Linked DNA regions of Saccharomyces cerevisiae S288C. The main gene of each other region encodes a partner of the protein of the gene in region 2 in a complex. Each region holds a gene or a part of one and is shown on either strand. Other genes may lie near its edges.

Region 1 (3,185 bases), 320 kb from region 2:
ATATGCCATGGTCCTAATTGAGTTCCTAGGTTTGTCACGACGGTGGCCACCGGCCGATCAACCGTATCATTTACTATTTTTTTCAAGAGGACAACGACTTCATTCTTCAAAAAGTCGTTCCAGGTACGAGTGATTTAGGAAGGTCTGAAGAAAAGCGACTATGCATTTTTGCAAAATTGCGTCAACGTTTCAGATACTCTCTGGTGCGCAAAAATGCGTTTATTTCAAGCCAAGTTGCAATCTTTATCAAAACTTGATATACATTAAAATACTCACTAATATATATATATATATATATATATGTACATATACATATATAGATTTATATGACGTTTCCGACGCATACTGGTGAACCACTTTCTTTTTAGTGAATAGCCTCATTATGCAGTTTCCGGTATTTTTTTTCCGTTGCTTCAGCTACGGGATTTCTTCGATGCCATTGAAAAATAAAGTTGTGTTCAATGAGAATATGGAAAGAAAAGACACTTTTTACCAGCTGATCTTAAAAGTTTTGTCTGCTTTATTACTTCTATCGGTAAGAAACTCGAGTGGACATACGAGACACTTTGTGCAGTCGTCGGAGAAAATTTATAGGCGATCACTCTTTAAGCAATAAGAAAGTTTCACGTATATTATTGAATAATACATTAATCATATTGTATATCGGTGGTTGTACAAGGAAAGAGCGAGCCTGCACAAAATGTATGTTGATCCGATGAACAACAATGAAATCAGGAAATTAAGCATTACTGCCAAGACAGAAACAACTCCAGATAACGTTGGACAAGACATTCCTGTAAACGCACATTCGGTGCATGAGGAATGTTCTTCCAACACACCCGTGGAGATAAATGGAAGAAACAGCGGAAAGTTGAAAGAAGAAGCGTCTGCAGGTATTTGTTTGGTTAAAAAACCAATGCTACAATATAGAGATACCTCAGGAAAGTATTCCCTAAGTGACTTTCAGATTTTAAGAACTTTGGGAACTGGCTCATTTGGGAGAGTTCACCTAATTCGTTCCAATCACAATGGGAGGTTTTACGCTTTGAAGACATTGAAAAAGCACACTATAGTGAAGCTGAAGCAGGTTGAACACACCAATGACGAACGCCGAATGCTTTCAATTGTTTCACATCCATTCATCATTCGAATGTGGGGAACGTTCCAAGATTCTCAGCAAGTTTTCATGGTAATGGACTACATTGAAGGTGGTGAATTATTTTCTTTACTACGTAAATCTCAAAGATTTCCCAACCCAGTAGCCAAATTTTATGCCGCAGAGGTATGCTTAGCGTTGGAATATTTGCACAGTAAGGATATAATATATAGAGACTTGAAACCAGAAAATATCCTTCTAGATAAAAACGGCCATATCAAGATAACCGACTTTGGCTTCGCAAAATACGTTCCCGATGTCACATACACATTATGTGGCACACCAGATTACATAGCGCCGGAAGTGGTCAGTACAAAACCGTATAATAAATCAGTGGATTGGTGGAGTTTTGGTGTGCTAATCTATGAAATGCTTGCCGGATACACTCCATTTTACAATTCGAACACCATGAAAACTTACGAAAATATACTGAACGCCGAATTGAAGTTCCCACCATTTTTCCATCCAGACGCGCAGGACTTATTGAAGAAGCTAATTACCAGAGACTTAAGTGAAAGGTTGGGTAACTTACAAAATGGAAGTGAAGATGTCAAGAACCATCCGTGGTTTAACGAAGTGATATGGGAGAAATTGTTAGCAAGATACATAGAAACGCCGTACGAACCACCAATCCAACAGGGCCAAGGTGACACTTCTCAATTTGACAGATACCCTGAAGAGGAATTCAACTATGGAATTCAAGGGGAGGATCCATATATGGATTTAATGAAAGAATTTTAAGGAGGTTCAGTGGGATAATTGTAATTGAAAAAAAAAAAAAATCAATAAAAGTAAAAACAAGAACAAGAAAAAGCACAAACAAACCTGGTTATAGATTCTTGGTGAGTCTAACAGGGCCATGATAAAAAAGTGACACATGCATATATGTACATGTATATATCTACGTACGTCTATTCAATAGAGGTGTATACAGATAAATAAAGGAGCATTCATATACGCCATATTGTGACTACATTTGCGTCCTCAGAAGACTGGGACGTTCAAAGTGATCTAGGACTTTTCACCCAGGGAAAACAGGATATCTGTAAGAATCGGCCATAAAACTCATTAATAGAAGAACAGTATAACATAAGTGAGCCTGCTACAATAAGAAGATGTCTAAGGTTGCACAACAGTTAAAATTTTTGAATAAAATTAGCGCCACTACCAGACTACCGCAGATTCTAGTCGATCCTAAAAAATACTCAGGTCTTAGATTGACTTTTCAAACGAAAAACCACAATGGACATATGGGTGCCAGAGTTTTTTGGCATAACTACCTACCCACTTTGCAGTTCTATAATCCAAGAATGAAGTTTGACGTGATAAGGATAAAGAACGAAGACAAGCAAAAAAGCGTTCCATGCAAACTGGAGATTTTATCTCATGAAGGCTCCGTTGTAGAGACTATTGATATGCGTAATAAAATGCATGAAGATATAATGAAAGACTTACTTGACAAAATAGAGCACGTTCCTCTTCCTGAAAATGAGATCATAAGAGTTGGACCGCAAGAAAGTATTATATAAGCTTTCTCTCGATAAGTTTGTTCATGTATATATCAAAAAACATTGCCCTTCATGGAAATATGTAAATTCAAAACTCACTTATGGGGCATATAAGTATATAATTTAGAGTACAATAAGTAGGATTGTGCTGAATATTGTCAGCCCTTGGGTCCCTTTTTTTGCCCTCCGCGTATTTCTTGTGGAAAATAAGGAAATTTCATTTTCACTTCAACTAGCTAGTTTAATTGCATGATGGACTCAAAAACATTGACAGCATCAATGGTAATGCAGGAGGAGAAGAAGCGGCAACAACCTGTGACAAGAAGAGTAAGGTCATTTTCTGAGTCCTTTAAAAACCTTTTCAGGCCGCCTCGTTCAAGAGATTCAAGTCCTATTAATGTCACCCGAATTCCTTATCGATCGTCTTCTACCTCACCCAAGAGAAGCTCTGAGCCACCAAGACGATCAACCGTATCCGCACAAATTTTAGATCCAAAAAATTCTCCAATACGCCAGCGTAG
Region 2 (3,796 bases):
TATTAGCGTCAACCACTTCGAACATGTCAACTGATGATATAGTCTTTTGATTATTGGTTAAAGAGGTTAATAGTGCAGAAATTAATTGGTTTTTTTCGAACTGCAAAGGGTTCCTAAAAAGAGTATTGTTTTGACCAACGAAATAAGACAATTTTCTACTAGAAAATTTGTTGCCTCTAGGTTTCAAAATCTCTCCGTCATCTAAAACTCCATTTGTCAATTGAAATTGTTCAACAACGATCTGCAACTTGTCATACTCATCTTTGGAGGTACAGTAATCGTGAAAGCAGCTATTATTAAGGGAACTCAAGGCACACTGTAAACATTTGCAGTTATCCAAGTCCTCCATTGTTTCATTATTCACAGTAACGCATGACCGACAAAATGCATATTGTTCATCAAAATAACGGGACACGCATTCACTTAAATTTCGTTTCTTCACATGGATCTTGTCAGTAATAAAATCTAGAGAATATTAGTACCTCGGTAAATTTGTTGTACATACGCAACTGGAGAGGAAGGGGGAAATCAGTTGTGAATTGTAACCTGGACATAAGTTAGGATCTGCCACAGTTTTGCTTTGAACCGCTGCGAGAACGCTCCCACCACCACCGGCAAAGAGAACCAGCAGAGCGCTTAGACATTCCAACATTATCAGTATATCTCGTGTGTTCCTGCCTCTTGATGATTTTAGCTAGCTGTAATGTGTAACGAATTATTCCCTTACTGCTTCTTGAGTTAGCCGCCAAAGAGGAAATATAGCCACAAAAAGAACTTACAGAAAAGATAAGGTAAAAAAAAAAAGTGATCTATAATGGGAAAGAAAAATCCAAACTTCTTCAAAGAGTATATATATGTACAGGATATTAAAATGTAATGATAGTAGTAATAATAGTATTAACATAAGCTAAGCGGATCTTGCTGTTTCCAAAGCTTTTCTTGTTGCATCATCCTCTAACTTTTGAATTTCTTTCATAATAGTATCATATTTACTTTTTTGCTCTTTAGAAGTAACATCGTTAACAACATATATGTTTGGTGACGCGTAATTATCAGAAAATGGGTGGATAGCATTTGGCTCAGCTTCTTTATAAGCGAGTTTAGGATCGTTGGCAGATGGCAAAATTTTTTCCTTAATATACCTTTTAAACTGCAAGGGTGTGCTTAAAGTGGTCAGTTCATAATCAGGAATTAGATAGCCAGATTTAGATTGCAAAAATTTGGTGAACTGAAATTTAGCTACCAAATCAGAGAATTGGACGTCCTGGTCTACTTTGCCCAATGTTTTTTCCGTTGCCTGCAATATCATATCATCTAACTGATTATCAGACGTAATCTTATCCCTGGATAACCACTGATTGAATGGCGCAGAGGAGACCGCAAGCTTCAACTCCTTCTGTCTCTTACACCGTCTAGACCCTTCGCCAATAAAATTTTCTGGTATTAGCTCCAATCTGTTTTTGTTATTGGAAGAGGATTGAGAGGAAGCCTCGTTAGTGCCTTCTTCAATATCCTTTATCAACTGTTTGGTGTCCTTGACAGGCTCTTGGTGCTCTTCTTGCTTCTTCCTCTTGAACCATGACATAAAGTCCCCGTTTGCAGCGGAACTGTGAATACATCTGGCTTTCTGCTTGTAGCCAGAGAGCCAGACCGACCTTTGCGGCAATGGTCTAATACAATGTAATTTAAGCAGTGACGACATCCTCATACTATGTCCGCCTTTCCGTCTACCCATTATTCACTTCAGGACTGATGATCAGGCATGCAGTTAATTTGACAGAAGTCGTTGTTTCACTATAAATTTGTCAGCTACCCGCCTCACCAGCAGCGATAAAGAACGAAGAATAAAAGAGAGCATTCACAGAGTACGAATCCAGTATAGCGGTAGTGGATACAACGACAGATTTAAGTCGTAAAAATGGGAGCCGTACTCAGCTGTTGTAGAAACCATTCCGGCGAAGAGAATGAAGCTTTGCTGAGGGAACAGCAGGCAGGCTATGGAAGTCAAGGAAACGCAAATGACGAATACGATGCCGAACAAATGCGGTTGAAGGAACACGAACACGAACAGAAACTGCTGGCCAGGGAACAAGAGTTAAGAGACATTGTTGCAAACACCAACGATAAACTAATAGACATATCGATGATAAACAATAGTGGCATTGTAATTCAAGGGACAGACCTGCAAGAAGCTCTTGATAAAAGACAACAGGAAGAAGGTGGAGATTCCCGGGAAGACGAAAGGAGTGCAGGTGATGACAACCTCAGTGGGCACTCAGTGCCTTCAAGCGGATCCGCACAGGCAACTACTCACCAAACTGCACCAAGGACTAATACGTTTACTCTGCTTACATCACCGGATTCAGCGAAAATATCAAAGGAACAGTTAAAGAAGTTGCACTCTAATATACTAAATGAAATTTTCAGCCAGTCCCAGGTAAACAAACCAGGCCCCTTGACGGTTCCCTTTTAATGAACTTTTTGTATAACATCATTGGTATACAAGCTTTATAAATAAATGTTAAATAGTTAATGAAATAAAAAATCACATTTGACGAATTCGGAAGACAAGTAGCCCAAGAAAAAAAACAACAAAAGCATGCTAGAGGATGATGTTTAAAACGACCCTCAGCCTGTTATTACAATAGAGAGCAAACCAAAGAATAATAGATAAAGTACACAGATATGGTAGTTAAGAAGCGTAAGTTGGCAACTGAGGCCGGTGGCAGTGATGAAAGGCCTAAATACTTGCCGGGAAAACATCCTAAAAACCAAGAGAAAACTCCGCATGTGGATTATAACGCCCCATTAAACCCTAAATCTGAACTTTTTCTAGATGACTGGCATATACCTAAATTTAATCGATTTATTAGTTTCACTTTGGATGTTCTTATCGACAAATACAAAGATATTTTCAAAGATTTCATCAAACTACCAAGTAGGAAGTTTCATCCACAGTATTATTACAAGATCCAGCAGCCAATGTCTATTAATGAAATCAAGTCAAGAGATTATGAATACGAAGATGGTCCAAGTAATTTTCTTTTGGATGTTGAGCTACTGACAAAGAATTGTCAAGCTTACAATGAATATGACAGTTTGATTGTAAAAAACTCCATGCAAGTAGTAATGTTGATTGAATTTGAAGTATTGAAGGCAAAAAATTTGAAAAGAAATTACTTAATTAACAGCGAGGTCAAAGCCAAATTACTGCACTATCTTAATAAGCTAGTTGACGCCACGGAAAAGAAAATCAACCAGGCTCTGCTGGGTGCGTCATCTCCTAAAAACTTAGACGACAAAGTCAAGCTAAGTGAACCGTTTATGGAATTAGTCGATAAAGATGAACTTCCTGAATATTATGAAATAGTGCATAGCCCCATGGCTTTATCGATCGTAAAGCAGAACCTCGAAATTGGTCAGTATTCCAAGATATATGATTTCATCATTGATATGCTTTTAGTTTTTCAGAATGCTCATATATTCAATGATCCAAGCGCTTTGATTTACAAAGACGCAACAACTTTAACAAATTATTTTAACTACTTAATACAAAAGGAATTCTTCCCAGAGTTACAGGATTTAAATGAACGTGGCGAAATTAATTTAGAATTTGACAAATTCGAATTCGAAAACTACTTAGCTATTGGTGGTGGTGGTCCAGCCGCAGCAGGTGCGTTAGCTATATCTGCTCTTGATAATGATATTGAGCCAGAATCTAACCGTGAAGATCTTATTGATCAAGCAGATTATGATTTCAATCATTTCGAAGGTCTCGGCAATGGTTATAATCGTT
Region 3 (2,887 bases), on a different chromosome or scaffold from region 2:
TTGGAAGGCTTATTCACGTGAAAAAGATCACCGGACTGTACAACCATGTCTACGTTGTTATTTTTGGCCAGCATCATGACTTCATGGAAAGTTTTCCAAGAATCATCGCCAGTAATGGGATCATTTTCGTTGTAACCCACATGATTATCTGTAGTAATTAAAATCCTTATTGTGTCTGGATCAGGATAGTCCATAGTCGAGTTTTATCGGATCTGAGCAGGTACAACTTGCGTCAATTGTCTGCATTCTCTTAATGTTGTTTCCACATTGTCTTCCTTACAAGCGTAAAGAGTAATTTAATATGGCTATAATGTTTGGGTTCTATTCGATTGGCCATACTATTTAAACCTTAAGTCAGTTTGGTTGGGTATATCTATCTATACGTTTGTGTAATTGCATATATATTATTTACAGGCTTGCTTGTGAACTCTGACTTTGTTTTTGTTAGAATATTAGAAACGTGCATGCCTACAATGAGATTTGTAGATGCCTTTATTTTCTCAATGCATTTCCAACATATGTTTGAGATCCAGCTGTTTCGAGTGACGGTCGAAATGATTGGCTAATTCCTGAAAGTTCATGTTTGATGGATCGACTTCCATTTCTTTTTTGTCCTTGTAGGTTACTTTCACAAGAGGCTTGACTTTATTGTAATCTGAGATAATTTCCGATTGAATCTGCGTGCCCATGTTTCGTTGCGTTGGTGGAATGGCAGCAAGTACTAACCTAGCAACTTTCGCTGAAATCAATGATATGACCATATCATTTGCTGTTAGTATTTGTGATAGATCGGTTCGAGCCTACCTCAGCCTAGTTTAGCCAAATCTTTAAATCATGATGGCCAAAGGTAAGGAGAACGAATAACAGAGCGAAAAAAAATACATACCTTCCTTGCCAAAGGGATTAAACCTGACAATTACCTTACTGAAGTATTTAGTTATCATGGCGAAGATATAATTAAGCTCGTTTCTTCTTCACATCTGTTCATCCTCTATTTGAGGATCCATAAGTTTATCTCTTTTATTTCGCCGGTATATTCCGTAGAATCGCGCAAAACGGTTCAGGGAAGAATGAAATAGCTAAAAAGTCTTACATGTATAAAAAGTATACAGATTTACTTAGTTTAGCTAGGTTTATCCACGGAAGATATGATGAGGTGACGCTTGGTTTGTTGGAAAGATTAAAGTGTCTGCAATTACAGTATTTTGTTTTCTGGAAGTTGCATAGACGATCAGATCAGCCACGTCATCAGCCATCAATGGGGTAGTATCCTTGTAAACATTCTTGGCTTGTTCCTCGTTACCTCTGTATCTAACTAGTGAAAATTCAGTCTCGACTAGCCCTGGTGCAATTAGAATGACTCTAATTTTAGTGTTGATGAGCTCCTTTCTCAAACTATCAGTGAACGCCCCCACGGCAAACTTAGAGGCACAATAGATAGAACCTGTTGGGTATGCGTCTCTGCCAGCGATTGAACCCAAATTTACAATATCTCCTGAATTCTTGGCTTGGAATATGGGCAGTACAGCTTGTGTGATATTGATTAAAGCCGTGACGTTGGTGTCAAACACGTCCTGGATATCCTCCGTTGCGATCTGGCCCACACGGTCACTGCCAAGAGCCTTTCCGGCATTGTTCACCAGAATGTCAATATCCTTGAACTCTTGTGGCAAGTTTTCAATGAAGGGCTTGATTTTTTCTGCTTGAGTGATATCCAGCTGGGCCACATGAACTTTTGCGTTTGGAAACTCTTGATCAATGGTCTTCTTCAATTCCTCGAGCTTTTCTAATCTTCTAGCAGCCAAGATCAGTTTCATATCACCATTGGATGCCTCCAAGTACTCTAATGCGGTCGCCTTACCAATACCAGCAGATGCACCTGTAATGAGGACAGTCTTCTTAGCCAATCTTTCTGCAGCTTTTCTACCTTGGGACATTATCAAAATACGTTCTCAATGTTCTATTTCCCGCCTTTACTAGTGAGCTTGAACACTTTCTATGCGCCATGCTGTTTCATCTATCCTCCTTTCTTCAGCTTTTTATATCGCTCCGATAAGAAAAATCGGTGTCGTGCCTTAATATATATCAATGCTATACGTCATAGAGTAGAGTCGTATAGTGTATAAGAGTAATATATAGATGATAAAGAGAACTTACTCATCACCCTCTGCACCAAATAGCATCATCATATCGAGATCGTTCTGGTCGAGTGTTTCCTCTGCGGGGGCTTCATCAAGTTCGCGCACCACCTTGTTCTCTTGTATGTGTTCCCGTTCATGCACATTATCCTCGTCCTCATCGTTTTCTTCGTCATCCTCCTCGTCTTCGTCCACTTCATCCTCTTCCTCTTCTTCTTCCTCTTCCTCTTCTTCTTCCTCGACGTTATTTGCAGTTTCTGCGTCAGAGCGATGTTGATGTTGTTTCTGGACAGAATCTTCGGTTTGTTGTAACTGCTTACGTTTTAGTTCAGCCTCCTTCTCGAGCTTTTTAATGCTATCTATGAACCTGCTTTTCAAAAGAGGATTCGTGGCTTTACTTAATTTATGCTTGGTATGGGCCAGGGTGGTCTCTAGTTCGTTCAATTCGTCCGCAAGTAATTCAGTGTGCTGTCTGTTTTCGTCTTTTTCGTCATCAGATTCACTTTCCCCACCAGCAGCTTCAATGTCACCGTCGTCATCATCGTCATCATCTTCTCCGCCTGTGTCTTGATCCACCTCATCACCGACTTCCTCTTGTTGTTGCTCCTTGTCTCCCTCGGCACCGCTACCTTCCTCTTCACTTTCAAAAGCAGCGCCTAGGTCAAGATCCTCCTCTTCTTCTTCTTCCATTCCTTCTTCTCCCTCTTCTTCTGCACCTTGTTTTCCTACTGCCGAAGCAATTGTGTGTA

What was found. The genes of interacting proteins can lie anywhere in the genome.
Region 1: MRPL13 (region 2) and MRP49 share a complex: the UniProt entries of both Saccharomyces cerevisiae proteins name them as parts of the mitochondrial large ribosomal subunit.
Region 3: MRPL13 (region 2) and MRPL44 share a complex: the UniProt entries of both Saccharomyces cerevisiae proteins name them as parts of the mitochondrial large ribosomal subunit.

Annotation. Positions count from the first base shown.
Region 1 is NC_001143.9:133,221-136,405, reverse strand, and holds MRP49 (mitochondrial 54S ribosomal protein mL61 MRP49), read left to right. Parts: upstream 1-2,271; coding exon 2,272-2,685; downstream 2,686-3,185. Other genes in the region: cAMP-dependent protein kinase catalytic subunit TPK3, read left to right, coding at 701-1,897; putative serine/threonine protein kinase KKQ8, read left to right, coding at 2,944-3,185. UniProt on the Saccharomyces cerevisiae protein: Component of the mitochondrial ribosome (mitoribosome), a dedicated translation machinery responsible for the synthesis of mitochondrial genome-encoded proteins, including at least some of the essential transmembrane subunits of the mitochondrial respiratory chain.
Region 2 is NC_001143.9:449,516-453,311, forward strand, and holds MRPL13 (mitochondrial 54S ribosomal protein mL50 MRPL13), read right to left. Parts: upstream 1,703-3,796; coding exon 908-1,702; downstream 1-907. Other genes in the region: YKR005C (uncharacterized protein), read right to left, coding at 1-436, 506-652; MEH1 (Meh1p), read left to right, coding at 1,919-2,473; RSC4 (Rsc4p), read left to right, coding at 2,686-3,796. UniProt on the Saccharomyces cerevisiae protein: Component of the mitochondrial ribosome (mitoribosome), a dedicated translation machinery responsible for the synthesis of mitochondrial genome-encoded proteins, including at least some of the essential transmembrane subunits of the mitochondrial respiratory chain.
Region 3 is NC_001145.3:720,460-723,346, forward strand, and holds MRPL44 (mitochondrial 54S ribosomal protein mL53 MRPL44), read right to left. Parts: upstream 945-2,887; coding exon 887-944; intron 740-886; coding exon 501-739; downstream 1-500. Other genes in the region: MRE11 (MRX complex nuclease subunit), read right to left, coding at 1-194; ORA1 (oxidoreductase), read right to left, coding at 1,134-1,937; TATA-binding protein-associated factor TAF7, read right to left, coding at 2,154-2,887. UniProt on the Saccharomyces cerevisiae protein: Component of the mitochondrial ribosome (mitoribosome), a dedicated translation machinery responsible for the synthesis of mitochondrial genome-encoded proteins, including at least some of the essential transmembrane subunits of the mitochondrial respiratory chain.